Linked DNA regions of Saccharomyces cerevisiae S288C. The main gene of each other region encodes a partner of the protein of the gene in region 2 in a complex. Each region holds a gene or a part of one and is shown on either strand. Other genes may lie near its edges.

Region 1 (4,974 bases), on a different chromosome or scaffold from region 2:
TCGTCATCAACATTCATTCCAATAAGAAAACCCTATCCCATGGTTTCCTAGCTCAAATATTTACCATCCTGGATAAGTACAAGTTAGTCGTAGATTTAATATCTACTTCTGAAGTTCATGTTTCGATGGCTTTGCCCATTCCAGATGCAGACTCATTAAAATCTCTGAGACAAGCTGAGGAAAAATTGAGAATTTTAGGTTCTGTTGATATCACAAAGAAGTTGTCTATTGTTTCATTAGTTGGTAAACATATGAAACAATACATCGGCATTGCTGGTACCATGTTTACTACTCTTGCTGAAGAAGGCATCAACATTGAAATGATTTCTCAAGGGGCAAATGAAATAAACATATCCTGCGTTATCAATGAATCTGACTCCATAAAAGCGCTACAATGTATTCATGCCAAGTTACTAAGTGAGCGGACAAATACTTCAAACCAATTTGAACATGCCATTGATGAACGTTTAGAACAATTGAAAAGACTTGGAATTTAAATCCACCTTTCTTCTTCACTTTAATGATAGAATATTAATTTTCCCTTTATATATATATATATATATATATACGCGCACATATATTTACATATATATTAATGTTTTGTAACCTATATTGGGGCGATTATTCCCTAAATGTAATGTCAGGGTTATACTGTATCAATTGCTAAAGTAGATCTCATTCATCGAGAGCATAGGATGAAATAAAAGATACAAGAACGTGGCGGACAAGAAGAAATTTTACGAAATAAGATCGGCTAAAGCTTTCGCTAAATGCTTCTTTGAAGTGAAATTTAACGGCTTGTACTTAACTTCAGGTTTTATAACGTATGCATGAAGTGATTGAATTGCGCAATTAGTGGTCCTGGAAAGCAAATCCCCATCACTGACATCACTAGTGATTTTATTTTTATCAAGCGCAAGATACTCGCATAATTTACCCATCACTTGATCAAACTTCGGGAAGGTAAATCTTCTAGGAACCTTTGTTAACTTTTCAATTTCCACAATTTTAAGGTGTGTCTCCAAATCACGGATGGTTAAAAAGTTGCCTCCAAATACCAAAGAGTCTACTGGTGTATAAACTGCATGAATATATCCAGCTGGAATCATAAACAAATCACCAGCATCTAATTCCATCGCAATACCATCCTCAAGAATATCACCGAGGAAAACACTATTTTGGTCTTCTTTTAAAGACCACTCAATATACTTATCTATGTTTGATTGGGTAGGTGGAAATAATAAAAACTTCTTCTGTCCTGAGATAACGTTATAATAAACAGAGGTACCGGCAAAATCCAAATGAAAATCCGTATAAGCATCCTTTACAGACATCAAAATATATTTGGTCACTTTTGGCTTGGGGTCATTCTCCTCCGCCTTCTCCCCATTGACTTTTTCTAAATGTCCATTGAAACTCCAAATTTTATCAACAAGATCATTCTGCCTAACTGCAGTGGGCCTCTCTAGTTCTAATCCCTCAATATTAGAGACTTCTAATGATATAACATTCCTTATTCGATCCCTCCTGTCTGGTTCAGTATTTGTAAAATATTCATTCCAAGATCCCAAGTTCCAATTTTCATTCATTTGTGATTGAACGTCCATTACATCAACATGATAATCCTCGCCTATCATTTCGGTGATATAATTAACTGTGAGGCATCCATTGTCTGTGCCCACATTCGGTACATATACTCCGCTATTCAGTGGATCGATGATCTTGTACGGCACATCTATATTATCAAACTTTTCAGCAAAGTCAGCGGCGTTTATAATATTTGAGCCATTTTTCCATTTTTCAAAAGATTTCATGAAACTCTCCTTATGAGGGTGATTCATTTTATCCCTTTTCGATTCACCCTCATTCAAAGCGATATAGTCAAGTAATTTCTTCTTTCTGAAATTATACCGCTTATTTATATGACTATCTTCAGGGTTTTCTTTATTCCTTTGCCGCTTTCCTTTTTGTGTGATGAGAGCGTATGCGGTAAGATATTCTCCTTCCTTATGATTAGGACAACGGTAGCTCTTGATTTGCTTCGCAGAATTTGGATAAGACAGAACTTCAGAACTTGTAAGATTTGAATAGTGAATGCGTTTCAAAGGCACGCATTTCACGTGGACCCACTGCGGGCAACTATCACACTTCACCCAAATTAATGCGCCTGGATTATCCTTCAACTGGCAATGCTGGCAAATATTGGGATCTTGCATTGCACCATAGCTTATTAGTATTTTGTTTTATGATCATTACGTCTTCTTACTCATTATAATCACCCACTTCTATTAGATGTTCTATTATGCCTTTAAATTGCATTGTAGGGTAACCTGTTGGGGGAAAAAATATCTAGGATTACTTTACATACTTAAATATGAGTCCATTATTAACAGTGTTACAGTTCTAACCAAAAAGGCAAGGTTCTACACAAAACTTCGGATGTTCAAGATGAATGCCACCACAGGCATAAAAATTCAAAACGGTATGCAACCTATCATCAAGGGAGCAGTAAGCTCCACATTTAAACGTGCTCTATACAATTTCGGTATCAAAGAAAAGAAGAGTGTCAATATTGAAATGGGGAGAACGCAACAAACAAAGAAAATCGATCAGTCTTTGTCCAAAAAACTTCCCAAAGGTACTATCTACGATCCATTTGACTTCTCTATGGGACGAATCCATTTAGATAGAAAATATCAGGCAAACAAGAACTCAAACAGGAACGATATAATGAAGTCCGGTGCAAATCCACTAGAATTTTATGCAAGACCAAGAATACTTTCAAGATATGTGACCTCCACGGGAAGAATCCAACATAGGGATATCACAGGCTTATCGGCAAAGAATCAAAGAAGACTATCGAAAGCCATTAGACGGTGCCAGGCAATAGGATTAATGTGAACTGTACTACACTAATGCTTCTCCACATGAAATAATTAAGAAAATAAGGCATTTCATAGTTCTGTCTGTAAATATACAATATGTAAAAAGAATCGCAATTAGATCTTAAGTTAAACTTATATTCATTCTTATATTTCTTTAATATACCCGTTTTATTCGCTTACTCGAATTTGGATTATGGTAATGATATTCACGCCAGAGGAATAAGCTGAAATTGACGAATAACTTTTCAAATAATTTTATTACTTCTATTATACAACTTTATAAATATCTAAGCTGCCATTTACTTAATAAGACGGGTTAATTGTTTACGCTTCATCTTCCTGACCATCTTCATCACATGATTTGACATCCCACTTCATTTTGACATCCCATCTACTAGATTTAGCGCTCCAGCTGACGTACTTAACAAACTCCAAAACACTTTCATCTCTCAAGACCAAATTGAAAGTATTCCAAGCAGGTGGATCATTAATCAATACTGAATCACCACTGTCATCCGCACGATAAACAGAAGCGTCTTCAACGTCTTCCTTTAAGTATTGCTTATTATCTTCGTCGTCGTCCATCATGTACAATTCGTAACCACCAAGCTCTCCGGATTCCCAACCGGCAGAAGGTGTCAAGCACAAAGTACCTTCCAAGACAGCATCGATTATATCTGGATTGCTTTTCAAAAGTTCATTAAAGCGACATTTGGTGGCCAATGTGAAATCCATTCCTGGCCTAAACCTTCTAATAAGGATTTGCTCACTGACTGGGCACAAAGAAGTTAGAAGAGCTAGGTATTTCTTGAAAATTGTGCTCTTGTGAAATACAGCTAGGTCAATCAACGCTAATTCTGCATCAAAATTGTTTTCCCTACTATTTCCGGAAGCATCGGAGATAATTTTAATTGCGTCCTTAGTAAACTGAAAGTTTGGCAAATCATTGTTATTCAGCGCCTCAAGAATATCAGCTTCTGTTTGGAAATTACGGTATTCCTTACCGTCGATGTACAAATAACGGGCTTTGTGTGGAGGAATAGCCGTTTTCCACGGAGCTTTCACATCTTTTGAATGATAAGGACATTCCTGTTCCAACTCTTTTTGTTTGATAACCTTCTTTAACAATTCTGATTTATCGTCATTTAAAAACGACTCAATTTGTAGAGAAGAGTTCTCAACAAACTGCTTTTGTAGTTTTTCGATACCTTTCGAGCTTAAATGTTCAGGAGAGATGTATTGAGATAGATAGGTGAACTCGGCTTCAGACAACTTAACCGAATCAGAAATCACACTAGTCATAGATTCTTTAGGTGTGTTATCAGTTTTTGCGCCAGCATCGCCCTTGAGCATTTTTTCAAAGTGCTTCACTTCATGAAATGATAAAATATTTCTCTCGTCCTTTGGAAATTCAAAATCTTCTAGGACATTAGATTCAATCTGCGCCAAAGTGGATGTGTTGTTACGGACCCACGCTTCTTCTTCACCAGGTATGTAACCTTCTTCGCCAACTTGTGGAATATGGTACCATCCTTGAATAGATAATCTGTGCTTATCAACTTTGACTTCTTCGACATCGTGGAAAGAGAAACCCGGTAAAACTTTGAAAAAAGCAATTTGATTGAACTGTGGAACTAGTTTAGCAGATGGATCGGAATGTGGAACGTTTGGTAAAATACTTGGAAAAAGTCTTAGACCACCACCATAATGCGATTTCCATTTTCTGTCGGGATCTGGTAGGTATAAAATGAAACTAATCCTTCTAGAGCCAATAACGTCATCATGAGTCAACAAGTGACATCCCTTTGTGTAAGTGTTGATGCTCATGTCGGTCTTAGAACCAGACAATTTACCAGCTTTGGTGACGTAGCCAAAAAAATCTCGATATTGCTTGGAATACAGAATCTGGCGCAGCTTGAACAAATTAGGCAAACGGGACAAGTCATCCCAGTCCAGACCAGACAAATTGGCCAAGTCACCACTTTGGTTGACTCTATAGATATCGGTTTCTTTTTTAGTGAAATGGATCTCAGTTTCTATTTCTTTACGAACAGCACGTAGAAGATCGTCATTAACCAATTCATGAATA
Region 2 (5,265 bases):
GGAAAAAGGGAGATTAATAAAAAGAAAAAAATTAAAGGAGTTCTATATTTGGATTAGTCTTTTATTCTTTCTGCTTACCACCATGAAGCGTTGCTATTTCCGTAACCGTTTTTCTCATTATCATTTCTAAACCCACCTCCAATCGAACCCCAATTTGATGTTCCAGTATTCCTTGGCCTCGTGCTCCCAAATGAGCCATTTCCACCATGTTTACGGTAGTCTCTTGAACCGTTATTACGACTATTGAAAAAACCTCCTCCTCCCCTAGTTCTTCCACCTCTTGAATTCTGTCTTGACAGGTCACTTAAAAACGTGGGAACTTCTTGATTCGCTTCATTTAAAATTTCCATCAAACCCTTCACAATATTCTGATTATTACTATTGAAGAATGAAGTAGCCACGCCTGTGTTACCAGCACGGCCTGTTCTACCAATTCTGTGAACGTAGTCATCGATGTCGGAGGGCAAATCATAATTAATGACATGTGTGACATTCGGTATATCCAAACCTCTCGCTGCTACAGCTGTTGCGACCAGGATATCAGCTACGTTAGCTTTGAAAGCAGATAAGGCACGTTCACGTTCAGCCTGTGTGCGGTCACCATGTATGGCTGTAGCTTTGAAATTTTGCATGATCAAAAAATCTGTGAGTTGATCCGCCATTCTTTTCGTTTCAACAAAAATCAATGTCAATCCCTTATGCTCTGCAGACAGTAAATCTAACAACGCAGACTTTTTGTCCATGTCATCGACATATAATATTCTTTGCGTGATATTTTCTGAGGTGGAACCGACTCTTCCTACTGATAAAAAAATATAATTATCTAAGAAATCGCGTGCCAAATGCTGGATATCTACTGGGAATGTGGCGGAAAACATCAAGGTCTGTCTATTTTCCACAGAGGGCATATCACATTCTTCAACTATATGGCGAATTTGGGGTTCGAATCCCATATCTAGCATTCTATCAGCCTCATCCAATACCAGGTATTTGATATTAGCCAAAGAAACTTTTCCGCGTTCTAATAAGTCATTCAGCCGCCCTGGTGTAGCCACCAATAAGTCACAGCCGCGGTCAACCTCCCTCATCTGGTTACCGATTGGCGCGCCACCATAAACAACGCATGGCCTAACCCAAGATCTATACGTAAATTTTCTTGCTTCTTCAAAAATTTGGGTAGCCAATTCTCTAGTTGGTGCAAGTACTAAAGCAGATGGATATCCCTTTCTAGAATAAAAGCTCTGTGCTTTCTCGGGTACTGGAGAGGGCCCAGACCTGAATAGCTCCGTGAAGAGCGGAAACAAAAACCCACCTGTCTTACCTGAGCCCGTTTGTGCGCATGCCATCAAATCCCTACCTTTGGTAACTATTGGAATAGAATATTTTTGTACTGGAGTAGGTTTGGTGAAACTAGCAAGTTTGATATTTTCCATTAACAGCTCATCCAGAGGGGGAGAACTAAAATCTAGTATAGGTTCAGGAACATCTTTTCCAGATGCATCTACGGGAATATTATCGTAATTATCAAACTTTATACCAGATGAATGGTAATCGGGATCGTCGTGTACACCAAACAGTTCGGCTTCTAATTTCGCGTTCTTAGGCCCCGGTATATGCTTGCCATTTACCCATCTATTTCCAGATGATTTGTAATTTGAGCTGCCTCCGCGGTTATAGTTCGCACTCGTCCCTCCATTTCTTTCCTTAGAAAAGCCAAAAAACCCGCCATTGTTCCCAGTTTGCCTTCCAGCACGTCTGAAAAAATCACCACCCGTAACCTTATCTTCCTGTTTTGGGGTACTTCTTTCGAATGATGGTTTTCCTCTACTTCTCAAGTGCGGTGGGACATAAGATGATTTGCCGCCACCACCACCATTCTCTTTGTTGTTGATGCTTAAATTAGATACCTTCTGTGGCAAGTCTGCCATTTTTTCTTGTAATACTTTCACTCAAAGGGGTTTTTCTTAAAATATCCTTTAACTGACACTACCGATATCTTTTATAATCATGAATAATCCTTGTTATAAAATAAAGGCATTACTTCAGAGATGACCTTAAGTAACCTTCCCTTAAAATTGTTAAAGAACTCGCGGGGTAATATTTACGTTGACAGTGATATTTGTTTTGAGAAATCAAAGAATGAAGAACTTAGATGTAGAGTTAAAGGAGCAATACGAATAGGTGCCGTGATGAAGAAAAAAAATCATACAGACATTTGCTACAACCCTTGGTGAGACTGTTTCGATCATTTTTCTTTTTCTTTTTCTTTATTTTAGAAAAAATTGAACGAAATGACATTGGCAGAGTTGCTTGGACGGTCGAGAATAGCTCAAGTAGCTAACAATCATAAACCATTGACATACACTGGCAAAAAATTTCATCCAACACATCAAATCATCGAAACTAAGCCATCGACACTATACAGACAAGAATGGGGGTTGAAATCCGCTATTCCTTCGAAAATTAAATCTCGATATTTGGTGTACAACGATTTGGATACGTTGGAAAGAATTACCACATTCGAACCTAGAGGCGGTACGCAATGGAATAGGCTAAGATTTCAAGAAATGGGAGTACCAATTGTGTCTAATATAGGCAGACAAAATCCATTTTTCAAGTACATATCTCGTCCTGAGGATGAGTCTCATGCTAAATTGTCCTTATTCAAAGAAATGAAAGGAGATACAGATATTTCGCCTGCTGCTATGAAGAAGCGTTTGAAGAAGATAACAGCACTAATTAGATCGTTTCAAGATGAATTTAAAGAGTGGCTGGTGGAAAATCATCCGGATGAATTGAAATTGAATTCTAATAAGCTGGAAGACTATGTAGTGAAGTTTCTAAACAAAAAGTTGGAAACAAAAACGAATAAAAAATTTAACACTGAAATCATTGGTACAGGTGGATTATCATACAGCTTGCCAGGAAAGCTAAAAAACTCACCAAATGGTGTCATTCAAAGGACTGTAGTACCCGGTAGAATCTTGAACGTTGTTAAGGAGAACAACGACAATAAATGGCTGGCAGCTATTGGTGGGTTTGTGGCCGATGTGGTATTTTTCCAATCACCACCTAGTTCCTTTAACTCCATGGGAGATTTCATCAGAATGAAAACGTTCTTGTTCGAGATCTTGGAGGCATCTATGGAGAAAAATGGTTCTGTTTCGATGCACGCTAGATTACTCGAACCACAAAATGACAAGACCAGAGAATTTTTCAATAAGAGACCAATTTATAAACCATTGACCTCTAGAAGGGCACGTCGACCATCAGTGGGAAACATTCAAGAGGCCAATAACCTTTTGAATATAATCAAGGGAAATTGAGAAGAGAAAAAAAAAATGTGAACAATCAATGTATATTCAGAGTTCTGTAAATAAATAAAGAAAATAAAGTTTACATATTACTAAGGATTTTTGTCGCCTATTTTTACTATTTTTCAGGTGAAATGAAACGTTTTATATCACATTTTGCTATGATAACAAAGTTATTATGATTTTTATGTAGCCTATATTATTGACGCGTTGTTATAGCATTCTATGAATTTGCCTGTCATTTTCCACTTCAGAAAGGTCATCTAATTGCTCCCACCAGTTGAATAAGTAATTCTCGCAAATAATCTTAAACCAAGGCGTAAACTTGTAACTTGGGTCAGCAAACATAGTTTTCAAATCATTTGGTGAAACCCATTTGAAGTCTCTAACTTCATTGACGTTTGGGTTGACAGTCAAGTTTTCTTTAGCGTTGATCTTATAAAATAGGATGTAATCAATTTCATGTTCACCCCATGGTTCATTGCTTGGTGCCATGTAATGGATTCTGTTTAAAAAGTGAAACTTACCCCTTGTCTTAGTTTCATCTTCTGGAATACCTAATTCATGATCTAGTTTTCTCACCGCCGCAGTAATAGCGCCCTTAATCTTATCGTCTAGCTTACCCTTCAAACCTAATTCGTCATCAATACATAGTGGATGAGAGCAGCATGTGTTAGTCCAAAGATCAGGGAAAGTTATTTTTTCAGTGGCTCTTTGTTGTAAAAGTAATTCACCTTGTTCATTGAAAATAAAGACGGAGAATGCACGATGTAGTAAACCCTTTTCAATATTTTCCATTAAATGACAAACTTTCTTGGTACCGGCACCAATAGCATTATCGTCCCAATCCAAAACAATACAATTTTCATTCATTAACTTAATTTGCTCCTCATCATGACCAGAAAAACATGTTTCTCCGCTTTCGTCATTTGACGTCTCACTAGATCGGGTATTAGGTCTTTGTTGTAATGGAATAATTTCAGGAAACTCTTCCAAAATGTCTTCAGGTGTTTGGTTTTGCACTAATTTGGCGTAACTAGATACTGCACCATGGGGCATACTATTGTTGTCGGCAGTCATTGAGGTGTAATGAATTTTTGGCTTATTTTTACTCTTCCTGTATTCCAAATACGAATACTCTAATATTGAATTAAGTGGGATATACGCCTTCTTGTCACTAGAAAACTGTTTCCTGTTAAATAGATAAAAATGAATAAATAAATATAAATGGAGTTAAGACCGAAAAAGAAAGGCAACCCCCATCGACAAGAAAAGAGTTATGAATAATCATGTTTCTTAATAACAATTAAAGGGAAAAGAATCGGCTGGGCATCGTCATTGCGAAACTGTTGACTGGAAAAATTTCAATCACAATTAAGTTTTGTCCATTTCGTTCCAGCAAGAACGGAAACTTTTACCGATAGCAGCGGAAAAAAAGAAAAAAGAAAAAAAAAAGAAATTAATATAGGCAAAATAGCCGCATGAAGCCCTTAATAACCTATACTATTCTGTGACTGTTATTTATTTACCCTCGTAATATTAAAAATGTCCTATACAATTTCTGTAATAAAACCTAATTTTTTTAGGACCCTTGAGTGTTACCCTGCTCATGTTTTTATTTTTGTTTTAGAGAAATGTAAACAACAGTTTGGGAAAGTTTCAAGAATTGTAAACAACTAATCAAGGGATAATACTATTTTACTCTTTCCTTTAAACATGAAGAACTATTTTTTGTTTACGTTTTTTTCTGAATTGAACAATAAGATCTTGTTAATTTTTTTATCGCTTGATCTATTATCAGATCTTCTCTTTTGAAAAACTAGTCCTTTTCCAAATTACAAACTTTCTTTTCGTGTGGAGTTGATCAGTTCAGTTTCTCCAATACTTCTTAAGTCACTGAAAATATAACGAAAAAAAGGGCTCTGGAAGTAAACAGAGAAATTCGACGATA

The links. The genes of interacting proteins can lie anywhere in the genome.
Region 1: MRP51 (region 2) and RSM18 share a complex: the UniProt entries of both Saccharomyces cerevisiae proteins name them as parts of the mitochondrial small ribosomal subunit.

The regions. Positions count from the first base shown.
Region 1 is NC_001137.3:251,898-256,871, reverse strand, and holds RSM18 (mitochondrial 37S ribosomal protein bS18m RSM18), read left to right. Parts: upstream 1-2,484; coding exon 2,485-2,901; downstream 2,902-4,974. Other genes in the region: HOM3 (aspartate kinase), read left to right, coding at 1-497; JHD1 ([Histone H3]-lysine-36 demethylase), read right to left, coding at 738-2,216; TPA1 (oxidative DNA demethylase), read right to left, coding at 3,210-4,974. UniProt on the Saccharomyces cerevisiae protein: Component of the mitochondrial ribosome (mitoribosome), a dedicated translation machinery responsible for the synthesis of mitochondrial genome-encoded proteins, including at least some of the essential transmembrane subunits of the mitochondrial respiratory chain.
Region 2 is NC_001148.4:324,337-329,601, forward strand, and holds MRP51 (mitochondrial 37S ribosomal protein bS1m MRP51), read left to right. Parts: upstream 1-2,291; coding exon 2,292-3,326; downstream 3,327-5,265. Other genes in the region: putative DEAD-box ATP-dependent RNA helicase DBP1, read right to left, coding at 75-1,928; isopentenyl-diphosphate delta-isomerase IDI1, read right to left, coding at 3,528-4,394. UniProt on the Saccharomyces cerevisiae protein: Component of the mitochondrial ribosome (mitoribosome), a dedicated translation machinery responsible for the synthesis of mitochondrial genome-encoded proteins, including at least some of the essential transmembrane subunits of the mitochondrial respiratory chain.